7 linked regions of the Sus scrofa genome follow. The protein of the gene in region 1 interacts with the protein of each later gene in a pairwise test. Links are inferred from orthologs where the notes say so. Each region holds a gene or a part of one and is shown in the gene's direction. Other genes may lie near its edges. The genes, in order: KAT5, PIH1D3, GAPDH, ODC1, PLA2G4A, ZBTB8A and ZC2HC1C.

The links.
Region 2: the proteins of KAT5 (region 1) and PIH1D3 interact in binary tests that used the Homo sapiens proteins (3 or more experiments, as listed by UniProt). The two-hybrid records come from large-scale screens. The link is inferred for Sus scrofa from reciprocal best matches to the Homo sapiens genes KAT5 and DNAAF6.
Region 3: the proteins of KAT5 (region 1) and GAPDH interact in binary tests that used the Homo sapiens proteins (3 or more experiments, as listed by UniProt). The link is inferred for Sus scrofa from reciprocal best matches to the Homo sapiens genes KAT5 and GAPDH.
Region 4: the proteins of KAT5 (region 1) and ODC1 interact in binary tests that used the Homo sapiens proteins (3 or more experiments, as listed by UniProt). The two-hybrid records come from large-scale screens. The link is inferred for Sus scrofa from reciprocal best matches to the Homo sapiens genes KAT5 and ODC1.
Region 5: the proteins of KAT5 (region 1) and PLA2G4A interact in a two-hybrid assay, tested with the Homo sapiens proteins (2 studies listed by BioGRID). The link is inferred for Sus scrofa from reciprocal best matches to the Homo sapiens genes KAT5 and PLA2G4A.
Region 6: the proteins of KAT5 (region 1) and ZBTB8A interact in binary tests that used the Homo sapiens proteins (3 or more experiments, as listed by UniProt). The link is inferred for Sus scrofa from reciprocal best matches to the Homo sapiens genes KAT5 and ZBTB8A.
Region 7: the proteins of KAT5 (region 1) and ZC2HC1C interact in binary tests that used the Homo sapiens proteins (3 or more experiments, as listed by UniProt). The link is inferred for Sus scrofa from reciprocal best matches to the Homo sapiens genes KAT5 and ZC2HC1C.

The regions. Positions count from the first base shown.
Region 1 is NC_010444.4:6,566,525-6,569,219, reverse strand, and holds part of KAT5 (histone acetyltransferase KAT5), read left to right. Parts: intron 1-1,731; coding exon 1,732-1,872; intron 1,873-1,948; coding exon 1,949-2,042; intron 2,043-2,695. UniProt on the Homo sapiens protein: Catalytic subunit of the NuA4 histone acetyltransferase complex, a multiprotein complex involved in transcriptional activation of select genes principally by acetylation of nucleosomal histones H2A and H4.
Region 2 is NC_010461.5:87,657,148-87,661,258, forward strand, and holds the start of PIH1D3 (protein PIH1D3), read left to right. Parts: upstream 1-1,311; 5' UTR 1,312-1,953; coding exon 1,954-1,980; intron 1,981-4,111. UniProt on the Homo sapiens protein: Plays a role in cytoplasmic pre-assembly of axonemal dynein.
Region 3 is NC_010447.5:64,131,221-64,135,470, reverse strand, and holds the start of GAPDH (glyceraldehyde-3-phosphate dehydrogenase), read left to right. Parts: upstream 1-1,450; 5' UTR 1,451-1,532; intron 1,533-1,805; 5' UTR 1,806-1,823; coding exon 1,824-1,846; exon of another isoform or gene 1,847-1,939; coding exon of another isoform or gene 1,940-1,992; exon of another isoform or gene 1,993-3,620; coding exon 3,621-3,720; intron 3,721-3,799; coding exon 3,800-3,906; intron 3,907-4,027; coding exon 4,028-4,118; exon of another isoform or gene 4,119-4,244; coding exon 4,245-4,250. UniProt on the Homo sapiens protein: Has both glyceraldehyde-3-phosphate dehydrogenase and nitrosylase activities, thereby playing a role in glycolysis and nuclear functions, respectively.
Region 4 is NC_010445.4:126,085,860-126,089,812, forward strand, and holds the start of ODC1 (ornithine decarboxylase), read left to right. Parts: upstream 1-1,153; 5' UTR 1,154-1,448; intron 1,449-3,697; 5' UTR 3,698-3,824; intron 3,825-3,903; 5' UTR 3,904-3,935; coding exon 3,936-3,953. UniProt on the Homo sapiens protein: Catalyzes the first and rate-limiting step of polyamine biosynthesis that converts ornithine into putrescine, which is the precursor for the polyamines, spermidine and spermine.
Region 5 is NC_010451.4:127,852,400-127,856,488, forward strand, and holds the start of PLA2G4A (cytosolic phospholipase A2), read left to right. Parts: upstream 1-1,289; 5' UTR 1,290-1,319; intron 1,320-1,590; coding exon of another isoform or gene 1,591-1,674; intron 1,675-2,429; coding exon of another isoform or gene 2,430-2,611; intron 2,612-3,038; coding exon of another isoform or gene 3,039-3,182; intron 3,183-4,089. UniProt on the Homo sapiens protein: Has primarily calcium-dependent phospholipase and lysophospholipase activities, with a major role in membrane lipid remodeling and biosynthesis of lipid mediators of the inflammatory response.
Region 6 is NC_010448.4:88,920,935-88,925,045, forward strand, and holds the start of ZBTB8A (zinc finger and BTB domain-containing protein 8A), read left to right. Parts: upstream 1-1,311; 5' UTR 1,312-2,271; intron 2,272-4,111. UniProt on the Homo sapiens protein: May be involved in transcriptional regulation.
Region 7 is NC_010449.5:98,264,028-98,268,051, forward strand, and holds the start of ZC2HC1C (zinc finger C2HC domain-containing protein 1C), read left to right. Parts: upstream 1-1,224; 5' UTR 1,225-2,184; coding exon 2,185-3,495; intron 3,496-4,024. Other genes in the region: ACYP1 (acylphosphatase-1), read right to left, coding at 807-927.

The DNA.
Region 1 (2,695 bases):
TGTGGGTTCGGTCCCTGCCCTTGCACAGTGGGTTAAGGATCCGGCGTTGCTGTGAGCTGTGTTATAGGTCGCAGACGCGGCTCGGATCCCGCCTTGCTGTGGCTCTGGTGTAGGCCGGCGGCTACGGCTCTGATTAGACCCCTAGCCTGAGAACTTCCATATGCCACAGGAAGCAGCCCTAGAAAAGGCAAAAAGACACACACACACATACACACAAAGGGATACAGGAGTGTCTAAGAAAATAATGACAGTGATGACAGTGAGAGTCACTGTTCACACATCCCTATAACGGACAACGAGAGTTTGGAACATTCCGAGAATTACTGAAATGTGATAGAGAGACATGAAATGAGCAAATGCTGGTGGAAAAATAGCGCTGATAGACTTGCTCAATCCAGGGTTAGCATAAACTCTAACTCGTAAAAAAAAAAAAAAAAAAAAAGGTGCATTATCTTTGAAATGCAATAAATGGGGTCCACCTATGCAGAGACAGTGTGGAAGGTGAGGGTCCTTCCTTCCAGCTGAAGGGCAGACAGGATGAGGTGAGGGTGGGGAGGAAGTGGGGGACACCGCAGGTTTGGGGCGTCTAACCTGCCTTCGTCTGGCTGTGGGGAGGATGAAGGGAGTAACCTGGCGGGACCTTCTGGAGTGAAATGCCTCCGTTCCGGGGCCTCACGAGTGGGGAGGGAGAGGCAGTCACCCTGACTGGCAGAGGGGAGCGCTCACTTGGGTGCTACGGGAGCTTGGGAGGAAGATGCTGCTTTAAACACAGTTAAGTGTATGAAGTGTGGGTTTGAGTATTCAGGTGGCCCTGCCCAGCCAGTGCTTAAAAAGCTGTATTTGAGGAGTGGTGGCTAGGAGTAACAGCCTAACTAGTATCCATGAGGATGTGGGTTCAATCCCTGGCCCCGTTGCTATGAGCTGTGGGGTAAGTGGCTTGGATCTGGTGTGGCTGTGGCTGTGGCATAGGCCAACAGCTGGCACTCTGATTGAAATCCTAGCCTGGGAACTTCCATTATGCCATGGGTGTAGCCCTAAAAAGACAAAAAACCACATCCGAAATGCAGGAAGGTTGTGAGAAGTAAAGTTACGAGAATAATTATTTTGCTGGGGTGGCCTTTAAGGCTGGTTTTGTTTTTGTTGTTGTTGGCATGTGAAAGTTCCTAGTCCAGGGATTGAACCCCAGCTACAGCGGCGACTTGCATCACAGCTGGGGCAACTCCACTTCCTTAACCTGCTGCACAAGGGAACATCTAAGGCTGTTATTTTGTTAAATTCCGGAATTTCTTGCTCCTCTTGTAGAAGAGCTGTTCAGTTCTCAGGAGGTGTAACTGTAGGTGAGAGAGCAGTGTGGTGTTTTTTGACAGCCAGAGTCCTAAGACTGTCACACAAGCAAGAGTTCCTCTTGTAAGCCCTGGTCGGTCTTTACTGCGACGCACAAGTGTGCTGACCGCCGTTAACTGTGGCAGAGGGCGCTGGTCGCCTCCAAAGCCAGAGTCACACCGAGGCGTGGGGAGCAGGGGGAGTGCACCCAGCTCACCAGGGAGGCGGAGCTTGGACGTCATCACGGAGCCGGTACGCAGACTCCTCGACACTGAGGAAGCCTGGGCACAGGGACGGCCTGACCCGTGGACTGGGTCGGGGTCCAGGAAGGCTCATCCTCTGTCAGCCTGGGGGACAGCCATGCTCAAGGCGGAGGACCAAGGTGGTGACAGACCTTCCCCTTTGCAGAGTTACTCTCAGAACCTGTGTCTTCTGGCCAAGTGTTTCCTCGACCACAAGACGCTGTACTATGACACGGACCCCTTCCTCTTCTACGTCATGACGGAGTATGACTGCAAGGGCTTCCACATTGTGGGTTACTTCTCCAAGGTGAGTGCTCCCCAGGGCTGTGCCTCCGTCCTGCCCTCAGCTGGGTCCCTCCCTTCACACCCTGCCCCCTTTCCAGGAAAAGGAATCCACGGAAGACTACAACGTGGCCTGCATCCTGACCCTGCCTCCCTACCAGCGCCGGGGCTACGGCAAGCTGCTGATCGAGTTCAGTGAGTACCCGTGCTGCTGGGGCGCTGGGTGGGGGTGGGATCCGGCAGGCCCAGGCCCCGTCCGTGTCTTAGACAGATGTCCAGTGCTGGGCCTCAGCCCCGGCTGGGCAGCCCAGTCACCAGGGGAACTGGCCAGAAATAAAAGATGGGACTCTCCCAAGGTTCTCTCCGTCCCAGGGTGACTGCCCTGCTTGCCTGGACCAGGTTCTTAGCCCCTCCCGGTTCTTCGGCCAAGGTTCTAAGCACTTTCCCCAGATCTTACTCATGTGCTCCTGCCCAGGGCCAGGGCAGAAGCCGAGTGAGCCGCTCTTCTTGCTCAACTCTCCGGTCCTGCGCGGTCACCCAAGTTCCTGTGGTGCATTTCCCCACTTGTCTTGAGCCTCGCGGGGCAGCAGGTGTCCTGTAAAAGGGCTGTGAGCTTAGCAGGCAGCTGTGAGCACTGACTCACGGGGATCTGGCCTCTGCCCCTCATCGTACGAGTCGTCTCTTAGCCTCATTCCACTCAGCTCACCATTGTCTGAACCCTGGGATCACCAGCCTCTGACCTGGGAGATGGGAGGGAAGCCCAAGCTGTATAGTCATTTGGAGGCTTGGCTTGATCCCAGTCCTGGTCTCTTTGAGAAATTTATTGGTAGAAAGATGCCATGATGGGG
Region 2 (4,111 bases), on another chromosome or scaffold:
ATTTCCCCCCAAAGCCACAATTTTAGCCAATAACTTAAATATTCAACCTTAATTTTTTGTTGACTACGGTAATAACAAGTAGAATGGACAAATTCCTCAAGCTCTACTAGCCCCTTCACCATAAAGCAGAAAGAAGGAACGCAATTTAGTTAATTCATAACCGAATTCCAAGCCCTGGGGCCAAAATTAACCATCCACTAAAACCATCCTATCTCTCCTTGCTTACTGCACAAATAATATTTGAAGGGACCCACTATTGAACACAGCTAATCAGTTCCAAATACTCCAAATACTCGTTAAGCCATCTCTTCTTTTTCCCTTTTGTTTAAAACCAAACCACGGAATTCCTGAGAAACTAGGGTCACAACTGTACCTCTAGAAGTGCAAGCACTCCGATTGTCAAGCAGTGGCAAACCTGCGGCGCGCTTGCATCGCTCCACTCCTAGGCGGGAAAAGCCAGGCACCGGGTCCGGCGACATTCCCGAGAGTGGGAGCGACGCGTACCACCGGACGCTACCTCGCAGGAGCTTCGTGGCAAGCCGAAGGGATTCTCCCTCTGGGGCTCCGAACCCAGAAGTCTTGCCCACAGCAGAGGGGGAAAAAGCGCGATTCCACCATACACACGCACACACAATTCACACGCACAAACGCTAAGCCGAGACCGAACCCACTACACGTGTCTCTGTCACCGCGCGGAAAGGGGGCGTGGGGAGGGCGTGTGGTGCCGCAGCAAAATCTCCTCAACCCCCAGGGCCACCAAGCCTACCCTTCCACCCCCGCTGCTCCGGATCGGCGACAGGAGTTGTCCGATCTGGAATTCACGTGCAGGAAAAAAAAGTAACGATGAGGGAGCCGGCTGATGCCCGGACAATCGAAAATCCCGCAAACTTACCTTGGCGGCGGCGCCCCAAGGTAAATCGATAGGTAGCCGCCGAGACTGCGGAGAGGCCAGAGAGGCAGACCAGGGCCTTCTCCGGCGAGAACGAACTGGCCTCCACAGTGGACGCGTCCCCGCAGGAGCGACGCTAACTGAGACAGAGGCTTAAAGGGGGCCGACCTAGTTAACTGGTAAGGGCGGCTTGGACCCCGACTGGCACGCTCTCTGATTCGTTAATTCTCCTGCAATTTCAAAGGAGACTCTTCTACGATTGGTCAGGAAAGTCAAGCGGGAACGCGGAGGTGGGGGTGGGGGAGTTCAGAAACAAAGTTGTTACCCAGGCAACAGGGGGACGCAGAGCTCTCCGTTTATTTTCCAAGCCTACACAGCGACCCAAAAACTGACCCAGGTGAGGAAACCCGAATCTTAGGAGGGTGAAAAGAAGGGCCCCTCAGATGCCGCGGCTACTAGAGAAACTAGGGAGAACTCTAGATACTTAACGGCTCTGAGAAATACCCACAAAAAGCCGCAAGTTTCAGACAGAACAGAGCCGTTCCCTAAATCCCCCTGCCCTAGACGCTAAAAGCAAGATTCAATTTTAATAAAACTCAGGCTATTCAGGATATGAGTGAAAGATGGGGCCGTTTTACCAGACAAGGAAGGGATGCGGATGGAATGTCAGAAGGCCAAAATGAACATGCTAAGGCTTCTTTAGACACAGACACTGCTCGTAACGCTAATTTGAGAATGAAAACTGTTTCCTTGTAAGTGTATCTGGGGGCTCCGAGTTGGTTTTACATGTACACCGACCAGCATGCCTTGGTTGGGATACATATTTTTAGGGAGTATAACGCTGTTCAGACTGAAAAAAAACTGGCTTGTGGTACGTGGACAATGTCTTGTGTTCGAGAAACGTGAACGTTGCGACCTGAGAGTTCCAACGGACGTTGGTCAGGTCCGTTGAGGAGTGAAAAAGTCAGGCTGCACTTAGTGGGCTGGAGCGTGGTGTGCAAGGGCTACTTGTATCTACCAAACCCGCTACTCAGCAAGTAGCTGATTGGGAGAGTAAGTATTATATGCCGTTGGACTGTACCTGTCAAAAGGTAAGGAACTGTGACCAAAAAAAAAAGTGGGGGGCGGGGTGAGGGGAGAGAACAGAGTTTGAGCACTGAGGTGAGGGTCCTTTCCCCTAAGAGCTTCTGGAAAGGATTCAGAACAGAGGCTATTTTGTAAAGAAATAAAAACAAGCCTATGGACTTGGGGAGGAAAATTCAAAGCACTGGAGAAAATGTGCTTTTTCAATTCCTTTGTAGATAGAGGTGGATTATGGGAATGAGACAAACAAGCAAACAAAAATTACAAGTGTATGAAGTTTGGCTAAAATAAAGAATAATGGATTGAGGAAATATTAAATCAAAAGAGGCTCATTTCTTGACCTTTAGGTTTATGAAATATTCCAGGTACTTTCAAAAATCATCTTCCATTAAATATACTTTAAATTTGTAACAGAAACTCTAAGTCCCCATGGTTATTTATGACTTAGTAGATTTGCTGGCAGTGAAATTTAGAGACCCTAAAAAAGGAATTATTTGGGGTTTTGTAAAAACAAAGTCAAAATGAATTAGGTTTAATAGGCAGGGAATCATTGATGGGCAGAGTTGTCAAAAATGTAAAAAAAAAAAAAAAAAACCCAATTAACCAGTATATTATCATTTAACTCAGAAATAGGCAGAGATGATGTTTACTTTTGTGTTTCCAAAAGAATTTTAATACAGGAATTGTTAAATAAGACATTATGTAAATAAAATTGCAGAAGAAATGCCAATTTTATTTAGGACAGTAAATGGATTTTTGGTACTTTGAAATCATTCAGCTATAAACAGTCAGTAGTCTACATAGGGACATGTGTTTTCCTATTAAACAAGTTCCCCAAATGAAACTCTTTGGTGATTCTTTACTACCCTGATTTTATTTGCTATATAAACTTGAATCAATAAAATATCATCTATACCCCCCCATCTTTAAGGGATTAAAAAAACCCTATAAGGCAATGGGGGGGGGCTCTTCTCCCCCTCCCAGCTGTCCTGGGAGCTGCTTGCTTTCCTATAATAAAGACTTCGCTTGCTTGCAAAATAAATAAATTAATAAATAAAATATCATTTCTTTTTGAATAGTGTATAATTCAGAGTTTTCACTCATTTAAGCTAGACTTCTCTCCAATTAGTTCAAGTCTAAGAGCATTCTGTTGACACTGTGGATGGAGGCAAAAATAAACAGAAAGCATGACCCCTGTCCTCTCAACCAGAGTCTGACTTAATCTCAGTTTATTGATACTATTGCTTCAGTGCCATGGGTCTGGAGCCATCCTGGTTGAGCTTGTTTAGTCCCTAAAAGTCTCCAATGTTTTGGCAAAGGACTGGTTCTGAAGCGGCTGCCTTTTTAGGGCATTGTGGCTAGTATCAAGAGAAATTCCCCCAATCACACCTCTACCTATGAAGGCCCTAGGGGCTCAGGACGGTGTGGGAAAATCAAAGGCACTGTCTAGAAAATGCTGCCTTTGGAATGGGCCTAGCAAAAGAGAGTGAGAGAAAAAGAAAGGGAGGTGCTAGAGAACTTATTTTCTAAGTAACCAAATCCCAAATAAAAGATTTAGCAATATATTTTTTAATGAAATTCTCACTTAAATTTGCTTTAAATTTATTCTTGCCCTATTTAAATTGCAATGTCAGATGCAAAACAGCAGTGTGGCTCCAGAATCTTATCTTTCTTTCTTTCTTTTTTTCTTTTTAGGGCTGCACCTGCCACATATAGAAGTTCCTAGGCTAGGGGTGGAAGAAGAGCTGCAGCTCCAGGCCTATGTCACAGCCACAGCAACACAGATCAGAACCACATCTGTGACCTACACTGCAGCTTGTTACAGCTTGCAGCAACGCTGGATCCTTAACCCACTGAGTGAGGCCAGGGATGGAACCAACATCCTCAAGGATACCAGTCGGGTTCTTAATCTGCTGAGCCGCAATGGGAACTCCCTAGAATCTTTTTTTTTTTTAATCACTACGCTATGTTACCTGGATAGTCTAAGCAAAAGGAAGAATATATTCCAAAGTAAAAAGGCAGGAGATTATAGGGTCTGTTTAATTAGCAGTTCAGTTTTTAACGGACTGCTGTTTACATGTAGGAGAATAATAGGAAAGAAGGGCAGAAAATTGGGATTATATCCTCAAGGGCCTTTAT
Region 3 (4,250 bases), on another chromosome or scaffold:
CAGGCTTGAGTCGGGGTGCGGGGCAGCGTGCTCTCTGCCTTTTAAGCAAAGGTTATCATCCTGCGGGCTAAACTTAGCCACAGGCTTTTCAGCTGGAAAAGGGGGCTGGTCTCAGGTTACGCTGGGCCAGCAAAGAGGCCCCAATTCCTTCCACCAGCACCTGCTAATGGGCAACGTCCATTCCACCCTCCCCCCACCTTCCCTGAACCTTCAACACTTCAAGTCCTCAGAACCAACCCATCTTTCATCCTCTGCTCACAAACCTGGCCCAGCCCCAGCTTCTGAGGGACTGGTCTTGGAGAAGAATGGATTTCCTCCTCCACATCACGTCTGGGAAGGGGCTAGGGGCCCTTGTCCCCACCCTGTGTCCAAGACCTCCCAATCTTTTCCCTCTTATGGACACCTCACCCTGCCCCCAACATCCCCTGGGCGCAGCCAGTGAAAGGGAGGCCCTGACTGCAGGGCTGGCCTGCACGTCCCAGGATGGGGAGGGACTTCCGCTCTCACGTCCTGCTCTGCCCAGGGCTGGATGGGGTGAAAGGGACATTGTCTCCCAGCCCGGGCCGCTCAGCCCTCAAATTTCCCAGGAGCAACTTTGTGGGAGACCTCTGAGCCTCTACCTGGCCAGCCCCCCAAAGCGATCCTGTCCCCTCGCTGAGGCCCCAGCCAGCCAGGGCCTGGGGGAGAGCAGCTGGTGCACACAGGTCCTGGTTTGTCTGCTCGATTCTCAGATGTCCAGGCTGCCTGTCCTGCAGGGCATCGTGACCTTCAGTGCAGAAACTTCCCTCTCAGGCCTCCTTCCGAGCCTCCTTCCTCTCCAGGCCTCCCACTGGCCAGGGCCAGCCGCGGTCCCCAGCCCGGGGAGGCCAGGAGCCAAGAGAAGGGGAGGGGGGAAAGGGGAAGGGGGCTGGAGAGGGCCTTGCTGGAGGCCCCTCCCGGGCCTTTTCCTCTGTAGTTCCTGGGTCACTACCGAAGAGCCTCGAGAAGTTCCTCAATCTTCCCGCTTCTCAGCTTTTGAAGGGGGGGGGGTAGGGGAGACTGCAGCCGCGAGCTGCGAGCCGCGCCCCCAACCCCGGGTTCCGCTCCAATTTCCCATCCCACTGGCTCCCCATATCCTCCCGTTACATCCCTGCAGCAACTTTAACGTCCCTGGCTCCTTGGGTGTCCTCAGTTTTCGCCAGGGCCCCCTCCTCCTAGTCCACTGCCCCCTGCAGTACAACCCCAACCGGGCCAGGCAGCATCACCGGTCCCCTCCCCCTCTCCGTCCTCAGCCCACTTGTGTGGCGCGTGCACATTGGCAGAACCAGGCGGGTCCAAAGGAAAAAAAAAGAAGAAGTGGGGGTCGGCTACTCGCGACTTTACGGGCGCACGTAGCTCAGGCCTCCGCTGCTGGAGCTAGGACTGGGCGAGGCGAGCCCACGTCACCCCGCCCCCGCCCCGCCCCCTGCCCTATAAATTCCGGCTGCAGCCTTCCCCTGCGCTCTCTGCTCCTCCCCGTTCGACAGACAGCCGTGTGTTCCGTGCATTGCCAGGTAAAGCCTGGCGGAGTGGAGCCACAAGGGTTCGAGGACTGGTCCGAAAGGGACCGGGGGCCGTGCGCGGTCTGGGAGTGTGGGTGCGGGGCCCCGGCTGGAGCCGGAGTTGTGGCTGCGCCGGGCCGGGCCCCTGCATTGCGGGTTGAGGGGGAGGAAGGACGTGCAGAAGAGCAGAGCGAGGATGGAGGCCTGGGGGAGGGGCGGGGAGGGCACCGTCGGGCTCCAGCCGCTTTGCCCCGCGATCTAATGTTCTCTTTCCTCTGCCGGCAGCCGCGTCCCTGAGACACGATGGTGAAGGTCGGAGTGAACGGGTGAGTTAGGGGGTGGGGCAGGGTGGGGCAGTAAGTACTGCAGCCCCCACCAAATTGCGTCCGCAGGTCTCGCCCTACCGGGTCTGTGCAAGCATGTGGGGGACTTGGATGGGGTGGTCGTACCCCACCCCCAAGGAGAACTCAAGGTCAGCGCTCGGACCTGGAGGAGGCCCTCGCAAGGCCTCGTGTCCCCCATCCCTGGCTGTTGCGCGTTCTGTAACTCCGCCTCTGCGGAGCCTTCCTCTTCACCTGCCGCAGATACACAGCCCTGGAGTCTCCAATTCTTGCTTTGGCCCCATCCCCTAATCCCCCAGCTGGGGCTCTTTCTTTCCTTTCGCGCCCTGCGGGGTCACGTGAAGGGGAGGAGCCCATCCCCCCAGCCGCAACCAGTGCCCCCAGCCGGGCAGCCCCGGGATGCAGGAGGCACAGCTGCTGTGCAGAACCAGCTGGGAGGGGGCATCTGCGGTAACCTAGCCGCCATGTTGCAACTAGGAAGGAAATGAATGAACCGCCGTTAGGAAATCTTCCTGAGTCCTTCAATCTTTCTCCTTACTTGCCCATGACTAAGCCTTCTACCCCTGCCTCGTGGGGTGGAGTCTCCTTTATCCGGTAACCCAGGTCCGGCCACGCTTTCCCCTTCTTAGTCAGCTGGACCTCAGCTCTTAGCAAACTAACCCTAGAGCATCCCTTCAAGCCCCAGCCAGATTCCCCCCCCCGGGGATGAGGGGATGCTTTTTCTGGATGGTTCTCTGATGAATCAAAAACGGGGCTTTATGGGGGTGGTCTTGGGTTGTTTCCGGGTTGTTTCCCTTCTCTTTCTCCGGAGAGGTGTGGTAGCGTTGGCTTGGTGCCATGCCGGGGGAGCTGAGTCATGGGTACTTAGAAATTTTCCACAAAATGGCTCCCGGAGCCGGCGGAGCCGCAGCCCCTGTCTCTGCATCAGTGCTCCTTGAAGCTGCTTCCTTCCATCCATGCCTAGGGTTGACCCCACCCTAAAGGCCAAGCTGTAAAGGTCACCAGGAGGATTAGATGTCCGTGAGCCTCGGGAATCCTGCCCTTCTCCCCATCCCCTCTTCCAGAAACCAGATCCCCACTCCACCCTAAGCTGGGGTTAAATATAGCTGCCTGACCTTTCTGCAGCTGGGGGCCTGGGCTTCTCCCTCTCCTTCCCCCCCGCTCCCCACACGTCTATTGCTCCCACTCCTGATTTTGGGAAAAGAGCTAACAAAGACAGGTTCCTAACAAATCAGAAGCCCGGGATTCTGGGTTTGAGAAACGGCTTTCCCTTTTGTAGGAGGGACTTGGGGAAGGGGGGGGGTTTCCCTGGCCAGTTAACTTCTGACCTTTGCTCTTGCCCTTTGAGCTGGGTGATGCCAAGTGTGCAAGATTTTGCTCCCTAGAGGGTGTGGCCTGAAGCTGGCCAGATAGGAACAAGCATTTACCGACAGTGGGCCTGAGGAATGCCATGTGCCGGCCATGTGCCCAGACTGTAGGTGGCAGCAGCAGTGCACCACCCTGTCACCCCTTAACAGATTTCAGATGACCAGGGGGTGTGGGCCTGTCTCGGAGCTTCATCACCTCTTGGGCAGGATGGGAGCTTTTCACTTTGTGGCTGTGCTGGGAAGCCAGGCTGGTCTGGCAGGGTTGTGCGAGGAGGAGGAAATGAGATCTCCTGGTAGGAAAGTGCCCGCGCTGACAGCGGGCGCGTGGGCCTGGGACTGCTTACATCTCCAGGAGAGCTCACTCCTCCCTCCTCGCCTCTTGTCCCCCTCAGATTTGGCCGCATCGGGCGCCTGGTCACCAGGGCTGCTTTTAACTCTGGCAAAGTGGACATTGTCGCCATCAATGACCCCTTCATTGACCTCCACTACATGGTGAGTGGCCCCCGTGGCGGGGGCGGGGACAGAGCCTGCCAGGGCGCAGCCCCTTGATGCCCTCCCTCGTCCCCCCCAGGTCTACATGTTCCAGTATGATTCCACCCACGGCAAGTTCCACGGCACAGTCAAGGCGGAGAACGGGAAGCTTGTCATCAATGGAAAGGCCATCACCATCTTCCAGGAGTAAGTATGGAAGACGGAACCGGAAGAGCTTTGCCTTGGAGGAGGTGGTGCTGGGACGGGGTGACCACCTTGGGTCTGTGGTCCCCCGCGCCCCTGAACTTTGTCCTGTCTTCCCTTCTAGGCGAGATCCCGCCAACATCAAATGGGGTGATGCTGGTGCTACGTATGTTGTGGAGTCCACTGGTGTCTTCACGACCATGGAGAAGGCCGGGGTGAGCGGCAGGGAACCGAAAGAGGAGGGGACCTAACCGCGGGGTTGGTGTAGCGGGGAGACTGGGGGAGGCTGACTTGGACCAGGAAAGGGGAAGCCCGGGTGTCTGACTGCTCCTCTGCTGCAGGCTCAC
Region 4 (3,953 bases), on another chromosome or scaffold:
GAAGAGAGGCAATTTACCCAAGATCACACAATAAATTGGGGCCAGGGCTCCAGCAGCAAGCTCCTCCAGGGCCCCCTGCATCGACTGTGTGGCTGGGACTAGTTCTTAGTCCCCACCCGCAGCCCTCAGGTCCGTCACACCCTAGGTTGGGGCATAACTGTCTGTTGTTGGATTTTGTCAACAAGGGAAGGAATGGCAAAAATGCAAGGGAAAAAAGAAGTGCCCCAAGTCCCTCTCTCGGGCTGGTACTGGGGTGGCCTGCCCCAGGGAGAGGCCAGAGCTCCACCAGAGCCTTGGCTACACTCTTGGGGACTCTCAATTCCTTATACAGCTTTTGCCGTGTGCATCCCTGGTGTAGACACTGCGGGTATGTTGGGACTTACATAACTCTCCAAGTGGTGCCAAGCCCAGCGGACCCAAGTCATTGATCAGCGCCATCCAATACAGTACGGGGCTGTGATCACCTGCTGGCTGGCAGACCTGTTACTTCGTACCCCTTCTCCTAATTCTTTAGAGGAGTCTTCGGCTTAATAAGCCGAACATGTGCCTTCGCCTGTTCATCGCTGTTTGCTACCTAGATGGACACCTGGATGGACTCCATTCACAGGCGCCAGGACTGGGGAGCTGCCCGCAGCGGTGCCACTAACGTGCCCAGTGACCTTTCTGCCCTCTGCGGTTCTGCCTGTTTCTTTGTCGTTTCTTTGTCGGGTGGAATTGCGCCGGAACCACCTGCAGGTCCCTCCCGTAGGAATGGAGACGCCGGGCAGAAGGGGCCAGAGTCCGCCAGGTGGGGTCCACGTGGCCCGCTCGCGCCCGCGATCTCCTTTCCCCGCCCAAGGGCAAGAGGCGTTTAATGCCCGGCGGAAGAAGAGAGCTGCGCGGCGCAGAGCCTGAAACTCCGCGGCGGTCAGGAGCCGAGCCTGCAGTTCGGAGGCGGCACCTCCCGGCCGCGGGCGGAGGGCGGGGCGCCCGCGCCGGAGGGCGCGCCGGTGGAGCCCGGCCCGGAGCGTGTGCGCGTGCGCCGGCCTGCCGCAGGGCCCCGAGGGGTGGGCGGGGCGGGCGGCGCTCGGCGGCGCTGACGTCGGCCGGCCGGCGCCCCCCGCCCCTGCGCCCCGCCCCCTCCCTGGGAGGACGCCCGGACGGAACCGATCGCGGCTGGTTTGAGCTGGTGCGTCTCCATGACGACACGCGCGGCGCTATAAGTAGCGGAGCGGCGGCGCGTCGGGCTTTGTCAGTCCCCTCAGCCTCCGCCGCCGCTGCCCCTCTGCCAGCGCTCCGGCGCCACCTCGGGCCGGCGGTCCTCCGCGGGAGGGAGCGAGGCGGCGGGCGGCCGGGCGGGCGGCTGACGGGGGCGGCGGGGACAGCGGCGGGGCGGCCGGCGGTCCTGCGCGCTCGGCGGCGGCGTCGCGTCTCCATGGGGTCGGCCCGCGGCGCCCGTGCGCTCTAAGGTGAGAGGGGCGCACCCGGCGGCGGCGGGGAGGGGGTGGGGAGGGACGGCCACGTGTCCCGGCGCCCGGGCCGGGCCGGAGGCCGGGCAGACCCTGCGCCTGGAGCTGCGGGGACAACGTGGTCGCCAGCCGGCCGCCGGGCCCCGACCTTAGTGGGCCGCTGCGCCCCCGGCCCTGGCGTCCCGGGTGAAGCGGGGCGCCGACCCCCGGCCCCCTGCGCGCTCGGCGGCCGCCGTCCCGGCTTAGGGCTGCCGGGGGCTGGAACCGGCGGCCCCGGGTTCGCCTCCCAACCACGTAAGTCAGGATTTCTGAGCCGGAAGCTGTTGAGAAAGCTCGGTCGTTCCTTCAACCGCTATTTTTTTTTTTTTTAAACCCACGTGGTAATCCGGTAACAGGTGCAGGAGAGGTAGGAGGCGAGCCGGCGCAGGTCCGTTTCACTCATCGCTCGTGCTCACTTTTATAAGGAAGAGACGTCCCGTTCTGCCAGGTTGCCCTGAATTCTCTTTTTTTCTTTTTTTAACTTTTGGTTTTGCTCCGTATCCTGAGCAAATGTCGCAATGTAAAAACCCACTCGAGTCGCTGGAGCTGAGATAATCTAACTGATAATACTGATCCTGCCATGGCGTAGAATTGCTTAAGGAATCTTTGAATGACTTGGTGATTTAAGAAAGTCCTCGATTGTGGAGATCGCAGTTCAGGCGAGCAGGCTCAGACATAGGAGCCGGTCCCAGGGTTTTCAAAAAAGGCTTATGGAAAATCTGAAATGATGGGGGCAAGTGTGGGGCGCAGAACCTCTTAGAAACGTCTGGGGAAGACGGAGGTGTTGACTTTATTCAGACCTAAAATTGGCCATAATTTGGATAACTTCAGTGGCTGATCGAATTAGTGCTCGGCTTCCTTTTAGCCCATTGGCAGTAAAGAATTTCATAGTAGAAAAGCGCTGTCTTGTGTTCACTGAGTCACTGTTAAGTAACAGATAGGAACACCAAAGGGTGTTCTTGGGTGAAGTTCCTCTGTATTGAAAGTAACTGAAATAAAGCTTTGAAAGATACAGGAAAGCCCAATGTGTAATAGTGCTGTATTTGAAAGAAACAAAAGCTTCTAAGTTTAAGCCTCAATATTGCCTTAAAAATAGTTAACCCTAAATAACCCAGTCTGCCACCTTGGAGCCTACTTACGTGCTGTTCTGAGAGACACAGGAGTTTACCGGCAGCATAGGCGGTTTGACAGTGCCCGAAAGTCACATTAGATTAAGAATACACGTTCTGCCAAGCATGGGTTTGGATTTATGGCAGGCCCGTACCCCTGGGCCTCTCATAGTGTCCCATGCCAGAGCAAACTGTGGCCCCGAACCATTGCCTGGCCTCTGCCCATAGGCTGCAGGCACTGAAGCGGGTTGCACAGTGTCAAAGGAGTCCTCCCTGGCAGAAATGGGGTACCATCAATAATTTTAAGATAACTGCTGTGAAATTTCATGAAGGCCGAGGACAGCAGCCCTGACTGTTAAACGCGCTTTATTTTTGCTTATTCCTAATTCATTACCTTGCTTTTATTTTTCTGTAAAGTTTGTCAAAAATCATTCCCAGGTGGTAATCATTAATAGCCAAGCAAATGTTAGAGCACCTGGAAGGGCAGTTGAGATTGCCAGAATGGCTGATGGGGTAGGCAGCGCTGGTTTAAGAATACTGATTTCTGGTCAGATGTGGTAACTATATTACAGTAATGTTGATTTGAAGATTGCAATTTAAAAAAATACATGCCTGGCATGACAATGAGCACAATTCTCAGGAGACCGCAAGAGCCGTCAGCAAATGACAGTGATGATGCCTATGTAGGACTTGGGAATGTGCAAGATGTTTATACAGCAACTTTCGAGAATCCCTGTAATGCTATTTTAAGCTTCTAAAAGAAGAATAACACTGAAGTGAGGTAAACTAAGCATCATAGAAGTTTCCCTACCAGTGAACTTCAGTACAGAAACGTTTCTGAAACGTGCATTCTGCATTTTTAGCAGGAATATTTGAAATACCTTTTTTGAGGGAGACTACTATATATGGAACTTGAGTGTCCAGAAGTCTAGTGCTGATCCTGTGGTGTCTCATTCCGTAGAGGTTTATGAAATCATGGGAGGACACCAATAGGAATGGTGGGATTCCCAACCTCAGCAAGTGAGCTCTCTCTGGAGGGTGCTTGAGTGTGTGTGTGTGTGTGTACACGTACCTGACTATATTCCAATTTGCTGTGTTCAGATTCTGCTCAGCAGGACATTCCCACTGCTGCACCAAGGGCACCCGAGTCTTCAGCGGGACAGGGATTCCTGGAGAATTACCTTTGTGAAGAGCTGGCATAATTTAAATTCCATCTTTTGTTTTCCGTGTAAGTGTTCATGGTTTATCTTGCTAAGAATTACTAAGTCGTGCTAGGACTTCCAAGTAAGTTTGTCTGCCCTGTGCAGTTTGTTGTGTTTCAGAAAGATATCAAGAAGCCATGAACAGCTTTAGTAAC
Region 5 (4,089 bases), on another chromosome or scaffold:
AGTTCTTCAAATGATCGATAGGGCTTCAGCAGAAAGCGCTTGCGGTATTCATTAAAAGACTGGTATCTCATCTCTCTGCTCTGGTCGATTGAGGCCTTTGATACTTTTTGTACTGCAGCTGGAAGATTCCTACCACCAGCAACCTGTGGAAATGAAATGAAATTGTAGAACATGAGTTTTAGGTATATTTAAGATTTCTATTTTAAAAGCATCCCTTGGGTACAAAGAAGGTAAGACTCAGCTCCCAGCTGAGACCTAAACTGTTCAAGAATATTTCTGTCATCTAGATTATAGTGATAACATTTACTATAACCGAAATTATATATTAGACTTCTCATTTTAAGGGAAGAATTCTACTAGCAAATAATTACTGTTTTAATACGTTTACGAAAAATCATTTCTACAGCAGAAATTCCAGTTACTGACTAAGCCCTTTGTTTCGTTTTATAATAATAATGCTTACCCTGCCAGCAATTTGCCTGCTAAATGATTCAACAAATTGGGTGATGCCATGTTCCAGTAAGATAGAGTTATTGTAGAGAAACTGTTGATAGTTGTACTCGTGGCCATCAATCTGGAAGGCGTCAGGCAGAAGGGGATGCCAGTGGTAGAGCGTGTTAAACTCAGCAGCAATACGGTTTTGGTATTGGAATTGCTGGTTGAAAAGCAGCTCTGGGTCAAACTTCAGTTTGAAGTGGTAGCCACTCAGGTGTTGTACATAGTCTTCGATCACAATCTTAATCGTTTCTCCTATGGGCACAACATTAACAAATTTAGAACACAAATTCTTTCTACTCACAAACTTTCAAGCAACCCAAATGCAATTTTGTTAATTTGCCATATTCTATTGATTTCTGTGTCTTCCTTTTTTACCATCAAAACAAAAGGTCGGTGATATTCCTAATCAAGCCCAGGGGTTGAATTACTATGAAGCATGTGATTTTACATGCACCACATACCCCCAGTATTTCTGGAAACTGCAAAGAAACAGTTTCGTTTTCCCTGGAGAAGAGCGTTATTGAGAAGAGTTGTTCTTGCGCACCTATCAGTATCAGCCTGCTCGTCTGGAACAGCCGTTCATCGTCCCATTCCGGGTGCTCCTGTTTAAGCACATCGCACACTCTATTATGTTCCCGCAGCCAGATTGTGGCGTACATCATCAGACCAGGCACCAGACCAAAGACCTCATGCCCCACGGCAAAGCGGAGGTGTTCAGGAGTGTGAGGCGGGTAGATCATCTCGACTTGAGTGTCTTTGGCTGTCGGAGGATACATCTCACCATCAATTATCTAAAAACAACGGCAAAAAATGAAAAAGAGGTAAGAAACAAATTCCAATCGTTAATGATGCTGAATATAGTTAAGTGGTAAGTCATCACTTTTTTCATATTTATTTATATATGTGTGTGTATACCTTTTTTCAGATTCTTTTCCATTCTAGGTTATTATAAGATATTGAATATAGTTCCCTGTGCTATATACCAGATCCTTGTTTACCTCTTTTATATATATTAGTGTGTATCTCTTAAACCCAAATTACCAATTTAAACCTCCCCCGATATCTAATTCTTAATAGTTTAGTGGAACAAACCTGATACTTCATTTTTCCATCCTTGAAAAGGCGCAGTTTATGCTGTCTCTCCAAAGATTCACCATAAACATGACTTAAGTCCACCTAGAAGATTATGAAAAATTTTAAATTTGTTGCTGTTAAAGCTGTTCTTATGTAAAATGCCTGTGAGGTATTTATAAATAATTTGATGATTTAATTTGCTTTAAAAATTTTCAATAACATTTTTTTCACAGCCACAAAATAATGAATTAACTTGTTTACCCACTGAAGCTACAAACCTATATGTCTCTTGTGTTTTAAGATATCAGTGTTTCATGTGGAGATTAGATCATATGCTTTGCTGTAATTATGTAGTATTTCTTTTTAAAAGCATAGAAAATATATTATTGATATAAAATTCTTATGATACATTGAAGCTATGTCACTGAAATCCAAAGGATAGTAATACTAAAGAAAAAAACCTAACCTAATAATATTTAAGGCAGCATAATCAGGGTGCAAATGTTTTTGAAGACAGCTTCTGTAGTGCCAATATTTTAAACTAAAAATATACGGGCCAAACTACAAATAGTTTTTATATTTGTACATATGTGTGTAAATATGTATACATGTGTGCATATATATTTTCACTAAACCAGTGAATTAAAATGGAAACTCCATTAAGATTTTTATAGATAGAACATTTCAAAAAGAAGGTGAATTATCTGGTATGGCAAATATATAAGTATATATATAAAATATATAAGTATATCTATAAGTATATATTGGCAAATATAAATAAATAATAAATAAATAATGGCCTTTAATGTTCACACTTCATTATGATTGACTAAAATTCTGATTTAACTCTGTCTTACCCCATGGCCCTGTCCTTTGGTGAAAGCTGGTCCTCGCTTCTGATCTGTCTTGAAAAACTGATGGGTGAAGTGCTGGGCAAAGAATGCAAACATCATGTTTGTGCCCTGGGGATCAGGGATGAACTTTCTTCTTAGAAGTAATTTTTCCACAACTTCCTTTGAATCGGGAAGCTCTTTCCTCCCTGAAAAATGAGAAGGCCAAGATAGGAATCCATCTCTATATTCAAAGAAGCAGAGAGTGGCTGTCAATCTGCCAGGATCTTCTTTACTTAAGAAGAATACGGTTGTGAATAGGATCATAATATCAATGGAAGTTCTAAGATACAGGGGAACAACTTCTTATTGAATACTTTAATCTCTTTTGTTTAACTAGCATTAATTCAGTTTGGATGAAAGAATTTGAAAACATCATGACATTATACCAAAATGCCCATTCACTTTCATGGAGTAGTTTACAGAGATTCACAAAGAACTCTCCAAAGATATCCATAAGAAAGGAAAAATAGATGTTTTTCTTAATAAATAAATGACAGTTTACAGTCAAATTTTCTAGGTTGCATCCAATCCCAGTTACACTCAATACATCTCTACCTGCTTCCTCTCACTCACCTTTCACACCCATGGGTGTTGGGCAGTCATCAGGCACAGGAGGAAGAGCTCTGGTATAATAGGAGAGGTTAGAAAAGGCTTCCCAGCTTTTATAGCCATAGTGCATATTGTAAGTTGGTGGGCTATCAATCAGATGTGATCTCGCTGAAATTTTCAAGGAAAAAAAAAGAGGTATTATTTGTTCCTGTGCACAAGACAAATATGTTTATTTTTATTGTAAACTGTGCAAAGTGGCACTAGAGAGTGACTTTAATTCCAACAAAGATACTGTATTTTAAAATAATTACACTTTAGGAGTTCCCATCATGGCTCAGCGGAAATGAATCTGACTAGTATCCATGAGGACGCAGGTTGGATCCCTGGCCTCGCTCGGTGGGTTAAGGATCCAGCATTGCCCTGAGCTGTGGTGTAGGTCGCAGACGTAGCTTGCTTGGATCTGGTGTTGCTGTGGCTGTGGCATAGGCCAGCAGGTACAGCTCCAATTCGATCCCTAGCCTGGGAACCTCCATGTGCTGCAGGCGCAGCCCTAGAAAAAGACAAAAAATAATAATAAAATAAAATAATTACATTTTAAAGTCTAACTGCCAAAATGTATCTTTGATAAAGTGTATATACTTTACCAAAAACGTTATGGTCTAGCCATCTTGATTTTTCAAATAACCATCCACTTATTGCTCAAGAGGCCTATGAGAGGAATGTCTGGGCTTGGCCCTCACTTTATTTACAAAAATTAAGAAAAAAATTTTTTTAGCCATGCCTCTGGCATGGGAAACTTCTTGGGCCAGGGATCCTGCCAAGCCACAGCAGTGACAATGCTGTATCCTTAACTACTAGGCCACTAGGGAACTCCAGGACTCACTTTAGAAATAAAGTTATCTTCTTGTTTACCCTCATACAAATTATTCCTTTATTTCATTTTATTTTATTTTTGATTTTTAAGGCCACACCCGCAGCATGTGGAAGTTCCCAGGCGAGAGGTCGATAGAAGCTACAGCTGCTGGCCTACACCACAGCCAGAGCAATGCACGACCTGAGCCACATTTGTGACCTA
Region 6 (4,111 bases), on another chromosome or scaffold:
AGCGAGGCCAGGGATCGAACCTGCATCCTCATGGATACTAGTTGGGTTTGTTTCTGCTGAGCCACAATGGAAACTCCCCCCCTCCTAGTTTCCATAACACCGCACTATCCCACATCTCTTCCTTCTATCCCAGTCACTTCTTAGATTCTTGCAATTTTACTTTCCTCTAGGAAGCCACTAGATGATGAAGCTGGTGATGCTTGTTCTATGCTTTATTCTTTTCTTATTTTATATTCTCTTTCTCTATCTATATCCATGGTTTTAATTCCTAGCTACATTGATGACAACACTTTACCTCAAATAATTTTATCTATTATGTTCCAGGCCATATGTCCAAATGCCTTTTAACATTTTGTACTATCTAGGGTTCTTAGTGACACAGACTCATTTGCCTTGGCTGATTTAAACAGAAATGAATGTATTAAAAGTTTACAGAATTATGGGAAGAGCAAAGCATAGGGTTTGGTGCCTATGCTAACCAGGTAGAAACAACAGCAAGTCATACCATAGAACTGGCCTGGTAAGGATACCAACACTGCTCTCAGCAGAGACCTGGCAGCTGGCACCACAGATAACCCTAGTGCTGGACAGCGGATACTGCCACTAACAGCACTGCCTCTATGGCACCTGGAGACACTATCTTGCTGCAACAGTCACCACTGCCAGAAAAGATTCTTAGAGGTTCCTGCTTCTTGGTGGTATAGCTCCCTCATCAAAGTCCCCAGTAAGTGCCTCTGATTATTAAAGTGTAGCCCATGACCATTGCCTTAGCCACAAGGGATTCTGGGAAAGCAAGTCACTGGCATTTCCAGATTCTGCTGCAGAAGGCAGATTCTATCTCCCACCAATTATTCATAACATAAGAAGTTCGCCAAACATATAAATTGAGTTTCAGAAGCTAGGAGGGGGAAGTTGAGGGAAAAAACTTCCATTACTTTTTCCTTGCAACAAAGGATGTGCTCTCTTGAGGAACAAGTTTGTAGAACTTTTTTGCATGTTTTAATTAATTAAGGCTAAAATAAAACCCTTTGTGATAACAATGCCCAGGTCTTTGGGGGAGAATTCTCAATGGGGATGCTAGCAGAATAGTTTGGGTACATCCAAATCTCCTGATACCTAGCAGGTTTTCAAACATGTTTTCAATTACCTGTTCAGAATGTGAGAAGGTGCAACTAAATAGCAAAATAACTCAAGTAATACAGAAGTGACATTAAGAGATAGTTGTGAATATTTTGTATCCTTCTAGTAGAGACTATGATCCTCAAATCACATAGCTAACTATTGATGAAACCACAGTAATAAATTCTGTTCAGTATGACTGAGTGTGACAAAAGAGAGAAATCCAACAAAAACTAAATGTTTTAAAATTTTGAGTCTTTTTTTCGGTTTTGCTATATCACAGTATTATTCAATGCCTGACCCCAGCAGAAGGAACTGGAAAACGTAGTTTGTAGAATTAATGTTTGCCTGCTAACTATGAATATTCAGTGATTTATGATGTTAGCAGATATAGAACCTGACGTGTGTACTCTAAACATTAGGGATGTATCATCAATGTTAGTATTTGACAACACAAAACCTCCTATTCTTACTAGTTTTATATTTTCTCTGAACTTGACCAAGGATTATTTTTTCTTATCTCAGCTTCTTGGGTTATCCTCTTCAAAGAAAATTCTTGTGACTTGCAGAGGTTTAGAAAAGATTACCCTTGACTAAAACGAGTTCTTCAAAAAGGGAAAAATTCTGTGCAGATCTCTTCCATTTGACGTTGCTAAACTTAAGTACAATAATGTCACATGCACTTATACAGTAATTGTGGGCACGCCTAAGTCCCTCCCTCTTTCCTAAACCAAATTCCCCAGATCCTAGAAATCCAGCCCTTCTGCCCTCCCGGAGGCGCCTTTCCCAACGTAAAGTACAATTTAAAATTTAAGCTCCTTACTAAATAATGATTCTGTAGTCAAGTGCTAGGGGATCTGGGCACTCCATTGCCTCCGGAGGGTGCAGCAGGGTGTAGGCAAGGGCAGGGGGAGTGGGCGAAGCTGCTGGTTGGTGCCTGAAATCTGTGCGTTGCCCCTTTAATTGTGTCCCCAGCCCTCGGGCGTTTCTGTCCAACGCCCACGTCAGCAAATACCTTTTGTTTCTCTCACGTTGGGGCTACTTGTTTTAGGGCGCAAAGGAACGGCTTCAAAAGGGGGTATTTCCCCTGCCGGGAACCGGGAATCTTCCCCCAGCCCGCGCGCGCGCCCCGCCGGTGCGCCGCGGCCCGCGGTAAGTGGCTGCGCGCGACGCGGGCGAAGGGCGGGCGGGGCGTCGGGGCTGCCCGGGACGGGCCCACGAGCCTAGCTGCGGGCGAAGGCGCCGCGGGCTCTGGTCCCCGGGCGGCAGCGGCGGCGGCGACAGCGGGATGCGGCCCCGGCGCGGCGCCCCCAGACGTTCCCGGTCCAGAGAGCGGCGGGAGGCGCAGAGGCGAGCGGGCGCCATTTGCAGCCCCGGGCACAGCGGCGGTGGCGCGCCGGCTCCGAGGGGCTGGAGACGGTCACAAAGGAGGCGCGGGCAGCCGGCGCCCAGGACCCGGCCTCCGGGCGGCGGCCAGCGGGGGAGAGGCGGGCGGCGGCGGGGCGCACCGGTCCCCGGACTGCGCGGCCGCCTCTCCGGCGCCCATCCAACCGCCCGGCCCGGCCCGCCTGCGCGCCCGGGAGGGGTTGCGGGACAATGGCAGCGCCGTCGCCGCCCGCGCCCGCCCAGCGCCGCGCCCGCCTGGCCGCCCGGCCTGGCCCGGCCGCGGCGCGGGGAAAGGCGGGAAGGCGCGCGGAGCCTCCTGGCGGCGGCGGCGGGAAGGCGGCGCGGGGACCGTGCCGGGCGTGTCTGGAGCCGTCGGGCGGCGCGGACTCCCGGAGGGTCGGCAGCCAGCCGGGCTCGGGCTGCGCGGCGGGTGATGGGTGGCCCGCCGGGTGGGGTGGCCAAGGTCCGGGGCTTCTCTCCTGCAGCTCCGGGCGCTTCCTCGGGTAGGTGGCTGGCTGGGCAGTAGTCCGAGTTTCTGCGTACATCCTCCATCCTTTGGTTTTATATGGTGATGTGACAGATCCGGGCTGAGAAGCCAAGGCAGACTTACTATACCTAACAAATATTGAGCTATAATTATTATTTTATGCCGAACCCACACGTACGCACCTTCTACCTATGCAGACGGCCTCTCTTGTAAGTTAATTAGTGGTTTGGCCCCTTCTCCATCGCATGCGCTTATTTATTGTTGATTGTGCCAGTAGCCAGCCAGTCTCCACATCTTTAAAAGGCGTGGTTTTTTTGTTTTTTTTTTTCTCCCCTTTTTTTCCTTTTAAATTGAGATATGGTAGACAAGTAACATTGTGTTAGTTTTAGTCCAATGAGTGTTTGGAAGCCGCAGATTCTCACCTATTGGGCTTTTAAACTCCACACATCAGTTTTACTTCTATTCTTGATAAATGTTTTTATTTGCAGAACTTTAGTAAATGGAGTGCTTTCGCCTATATGAATTATATCACATAAAACAACTACCCAGTCAGGCTGAGGATTATTTCACTTTCTAGATGAGGAAACACATTAAGCATTTAAGCTTTAAGCCAGGAGGTGAGAGGTGGCAGCCTTCCAATGCCCTTGCCTCCTGCTCTAGCTCTTCATTTCCTCCTAAAGTCACCTCCAGAGCTTTCCAGTAAGCAACTCATATTGCTTCCCTGCTCTGAAAACGTTAACTGATTTGTATCAGAAGCAAATCTAAAATCCTCAGCAGAAGAACCCCAGCTCAATCTTCCTTTCTGTAACCTTCCCCAAGCCCTGGGTATGGCTGGGTTTGTGAGGCCCCTGGAGCAAGAGCCCTTTGCTATAACCAGAGATCAGATGTCTTTATTCCCAGGAGCCCCCTGACCACACAAGATGTTAATGGGAAGTGAGGATCCAACCTGCCGGTCTTGGCTAAACGGACATGGCTCTAAAATGTTAGTAGGAGGCATCGTCTTGACCTTTTCCACATCATGTAAATTTCCGACCCGGTAAAGAAGGCACTCTGCTAGACCTTTTCTCAGGGCCTTGAAATTACCAGCTTTGCTGTTGATAGTGATTTGAGCCCAGGAAA
Region 7 (4,024 bases), on another chromosome or scaffold:
CCATGTGCTGCGTATGCAGCCCTAAAAAGACAAAACAAAACAAAACAAAAGAGAGAGAGAGACTTCATGGAAAGACAAAAGATTCTTCTTCCTCAGAAACAGGAGCGAAAGAAGTTAAAATGGAGGGAGGCACCCTGGGAAATTCTGCCAGACTGGAGGGGAGCTTAGGGAGTTGATGACAGACAAGCCCCATGCTGAGATAATTAGGGCCTTGAGAAGAGTGGGAAATGTCTGGAAATGCATACATAGAGAAGGCAGTGGAGAGTCAATTAGAAAAGAAAACAAGGCATAAAAGTACTGCCCTTGGAGTGCCACCAAGGAATTTCTTCGTAACATGTAAAAACTGTAATATGACATATTAAAGTATTAACACCGACCACTGCTGTCCGTATTGTTCTCCATGGGCATGAATCTTTTAAGCAGTTACAGGGAAAAAAGTAAGCTGCTTGTTCCAAGTAGCTTACACAAATGAATTGAAGCATAAAGACAAACAAACCTTCTTCTGATGTTAACAAGTTACAGAGCATCTTTAGTGTTGAAACCAGGTTATATTGAGTATTTTGGATCTGGTAGTTAACTTTATTATCATTACACTTGGTTGAGTCACTCTTTGGCCGCAAGAAGAGAGGATCAGAGTTACCACGTGAGAGTAAAACATTATATCCAAATAATTAGATTGGCTACGAAAACGTCCCCGGAAAGATACTGCAAAAGACACCGCGTAGCAAAACCTAGCCGATTTGCTAAAATTTGACGCAAGCTCCAAACTATTTGCAAGGAAAGCCATGGACAGTATACAGCCGTACCTGGGGCCCGTACAAAGCAGCCGAGCGTGCTAAGAAAAGCTATCAGTATGCCCACGGCGGCTAAGAGGGCGGACACCGGAATCCTGCGGCAGGTCTTGAGGACACATCTAAGGCGCTCCATCTTTTGCCAGAGAAGGACACACCCCAGGACCTGAAAGCATCGCTCTGAGAAAAAAAAAAAAATACAAGCCCTTTGATGGAGCCCCAGAAAAGCCTCTCCCACCCTCTTCTCCCGTTCCCTAAGGGCAGGGCTGGACGGAGCTGCAGAGTTGGTGGGACACCGGGTCAAATGACACTCGTGTTGACCGCGCCCGCGACCGGGCGACTCCCGGGTGTGCGGACTGCGGCTGCGCACGCTTCTCCGGTGGAATTCGGGGCGTGGCGGGACTGGGTGCGCATGCGCTTCGGTCTCCAGGCAACAGGAATAACAGAGGCCCGCCAACAGCGCCTGCACGGCGGCGGGCGGTTGGGAGGGTGGTGTGTGGTCTGGAAAACTAAATTCTGGGGTTTCCCCTGAGCAGGAGCCGTCTGCTAGAACAGGTACGCGGAAGGGCGGGAAGATATGGGGTCAGCACCTCGACCTCCCAAGGGCCCGAGAGACTGAAGAGCGAGCACTTGTCCCTAAAGCAGAGTTTCCAGTGGGGCTACCCGGCTGACCCTCCAGGACAGAACAGGACTTATGCGTTCCGGATATGAACCCCGCCAGATCAGGTGTTCTCCGCCTCTCAGGTTACCGACCTTCCGCCATCTGCGCTGCGAGGACACCTTGCGAGAGGGTTTGCCAGCCAGGCACTTGCTGCAGGCCTTGAGCCGGCTCTCTGCACTTTGGGGTCCAGCACGGTTCCAGCAGGCGGGAAGTCCTGAGAGCAGTTTGTGCCAGTTGCTTACCAACAGGCTGAAGTTTTCTACCTGTAAAATGGTGGAGCGGGACTTGGAGTCCTAAGGTCCCTAAGTTCCAGCCATCTAACTCTTAAGTGAACCCCTCAGTTTACTGGTGAAGAAACTGGAGCCGGCGAGGGGATGCTGCTTGTCCTGACTGAAAACTGACTTTCAGCCCAATAGCTCATTCCGCCTGCTACGGAGTATACTGTGTAAGCAGGAGCATCACTATGTATGATATATATAAAGGAAAGCTAGGTGGCAGGAACACCTGTATCACATTCCCTTTTTCTATCCTTAGGACCTAATAAGCACCCATAGGACATAATAAGCGCTTATCAAATGCTAGACCTAGCAGCACTGTCCCTAAAAAGTCTAAGGGAAACTGTGGGTAAGACAAGTGTAGAAATAGTTTACTTTCACAGCTGAGATGAACCTCAGACAAACTCCTCACATATGTCTGGTTTAAATCTCCCCTAGGCTTCTGTCCAAGCCCTGAATGGCTGGCCTCCAGTTGGCACTGACTCTGCCTGTGGGCATTATGTTCCCATATAATAAAAGGGAAGCTCCAGAGCTCCATTCAGTTAAGCAAGATCCCTATGAAAAAGGTGACTCTTCCCAGCGGTCTTCTATGGGGCACCTGAGGAATAATTTCCAGCAGGAGCTTTTGAGCAACAAAGAGCTGACACTAGATAAGCTCTACACTCACCCCAAATGGAACACCAGCATGAAAGCCTGGAGCTGCTCCTATCCCCACTGTGCTGAAATAAGCCAGCAAGATTCGAGAAAAGGTTTGTTTTACTCATCAGGCCCTCAATCCCAGTATCCCAAAGCAAATATCCAGGAATTCATCCCCTTTACAAAGAAGCGAGTTGGGGTGGACCGAGCATACCCACTGAAACCTGTGTTTCACCGGAAGTCCCGTAGTACAGGTGAGGCTGGCACTGATGGGGACCAGAATGTCTCTCTAAGATCCCATCAGCCAAGAAAGCTCTCATACAGCAGTTTTGGTTCAAGGAACTGGGTGAATTCATCTGTGGTTGGTTCCGTTGCTGCCACTCAGGAGGAGAGGGTTGTGGCAAACCCCAGCAGGATGGAATGGATGCAGATCCAAAGACTAGAAGCTGCAGGGGAGAGTTTAGAGGAGGAAATCCGAAGAAAAGAGACTCTCCTGAGGGAAAAGCTGAAGAAGACAGAGGAGGAACTCAGAAGGATCCAGAAGAAGAAAGAACAGGCTGAAGAAAATGAAAAAAGAGAGCTACAGAGGAGAATGGCACTACCCAGGAGGAGAGTTAAAGGCAAGAGTAACACCTCACACAAACCTATCTTCTCCCCAGAATTCAAGTCTGCGGAGGTCTTCAGTAGAGATGTAGGAGACGATGAAACTTGGGGACGGTCTCAAGAAAATTCTAGTCCATTCCAGTTCTCTGATCATGGAATTCAGAAGCTCAAAAGGGAAGGACTGATGGCAAGCAATAACCAAATCCGAGACCGAGTCTCAGGGCCGCTGAAGGAGAAGTTTTCTCAGGCTTCAGAAATGCCACCCAGTGCTTTGCAGAGATCTACCTGCCATTCTAGCTTGTCTAGGGCCCCAGACTCCTTGGGTTCCAGCTGTTCCACTGAAGAGCCAGAACTGGGTGCGTGCAGCCACTGTGGACGGAAATTTCTCTTGCTCAGACTTGAGAGACACTCCAATGTCTGCAGCAGGATGCGGGGTTCCAAGAGGAAAGTCTTTGACTCCTCCAGGGCCCGGGCTAAGGGCACAGAACTAGAGCAGTACTTGAACTGGAAGGGATCGGCCTCAGTCAAGGTAACAAGGGCCTTTAATGATTTGCCTTTGAATGGGGGTGTGAGCCTGTTATATCCTCATCTGTTTTCTTTAGAAAAATGTCATGTGTCATGCGTCATGTGGGGAGAAAGCGAGAATTAACATTTATTGATTACTACTGTGTGCCAGTCACTGTGATATTGTCACCACAACCCTGGGAAGATTTCAGTATCTCTTTATCAGTTTCAAAATTTAGTCTCAGGTTAACTTGTCTGAGTTCACAAATAGCTTTTAATGGCAGAGTCAGCATGTAAATCTGGGTCAGAATGACTCCAAAATGTAGAATTAAAAAATATGTCCTTTTGATTATAAAAGTAGTAAACATTTTAGAAAATTTAAGACATGAAAAATATAAAGAAAAAAATTATGCAGTGTTTCAGCACTCCCAGAGAATTCCTCACACTTTGCAATATACCCTGCCACCTCCCAAGATTAGGACCTGTTACCACTCCTAGAACTATACTTTTTCAATTAACTTTGATGAAACTTCTTAGTAAATATATGAGGTACC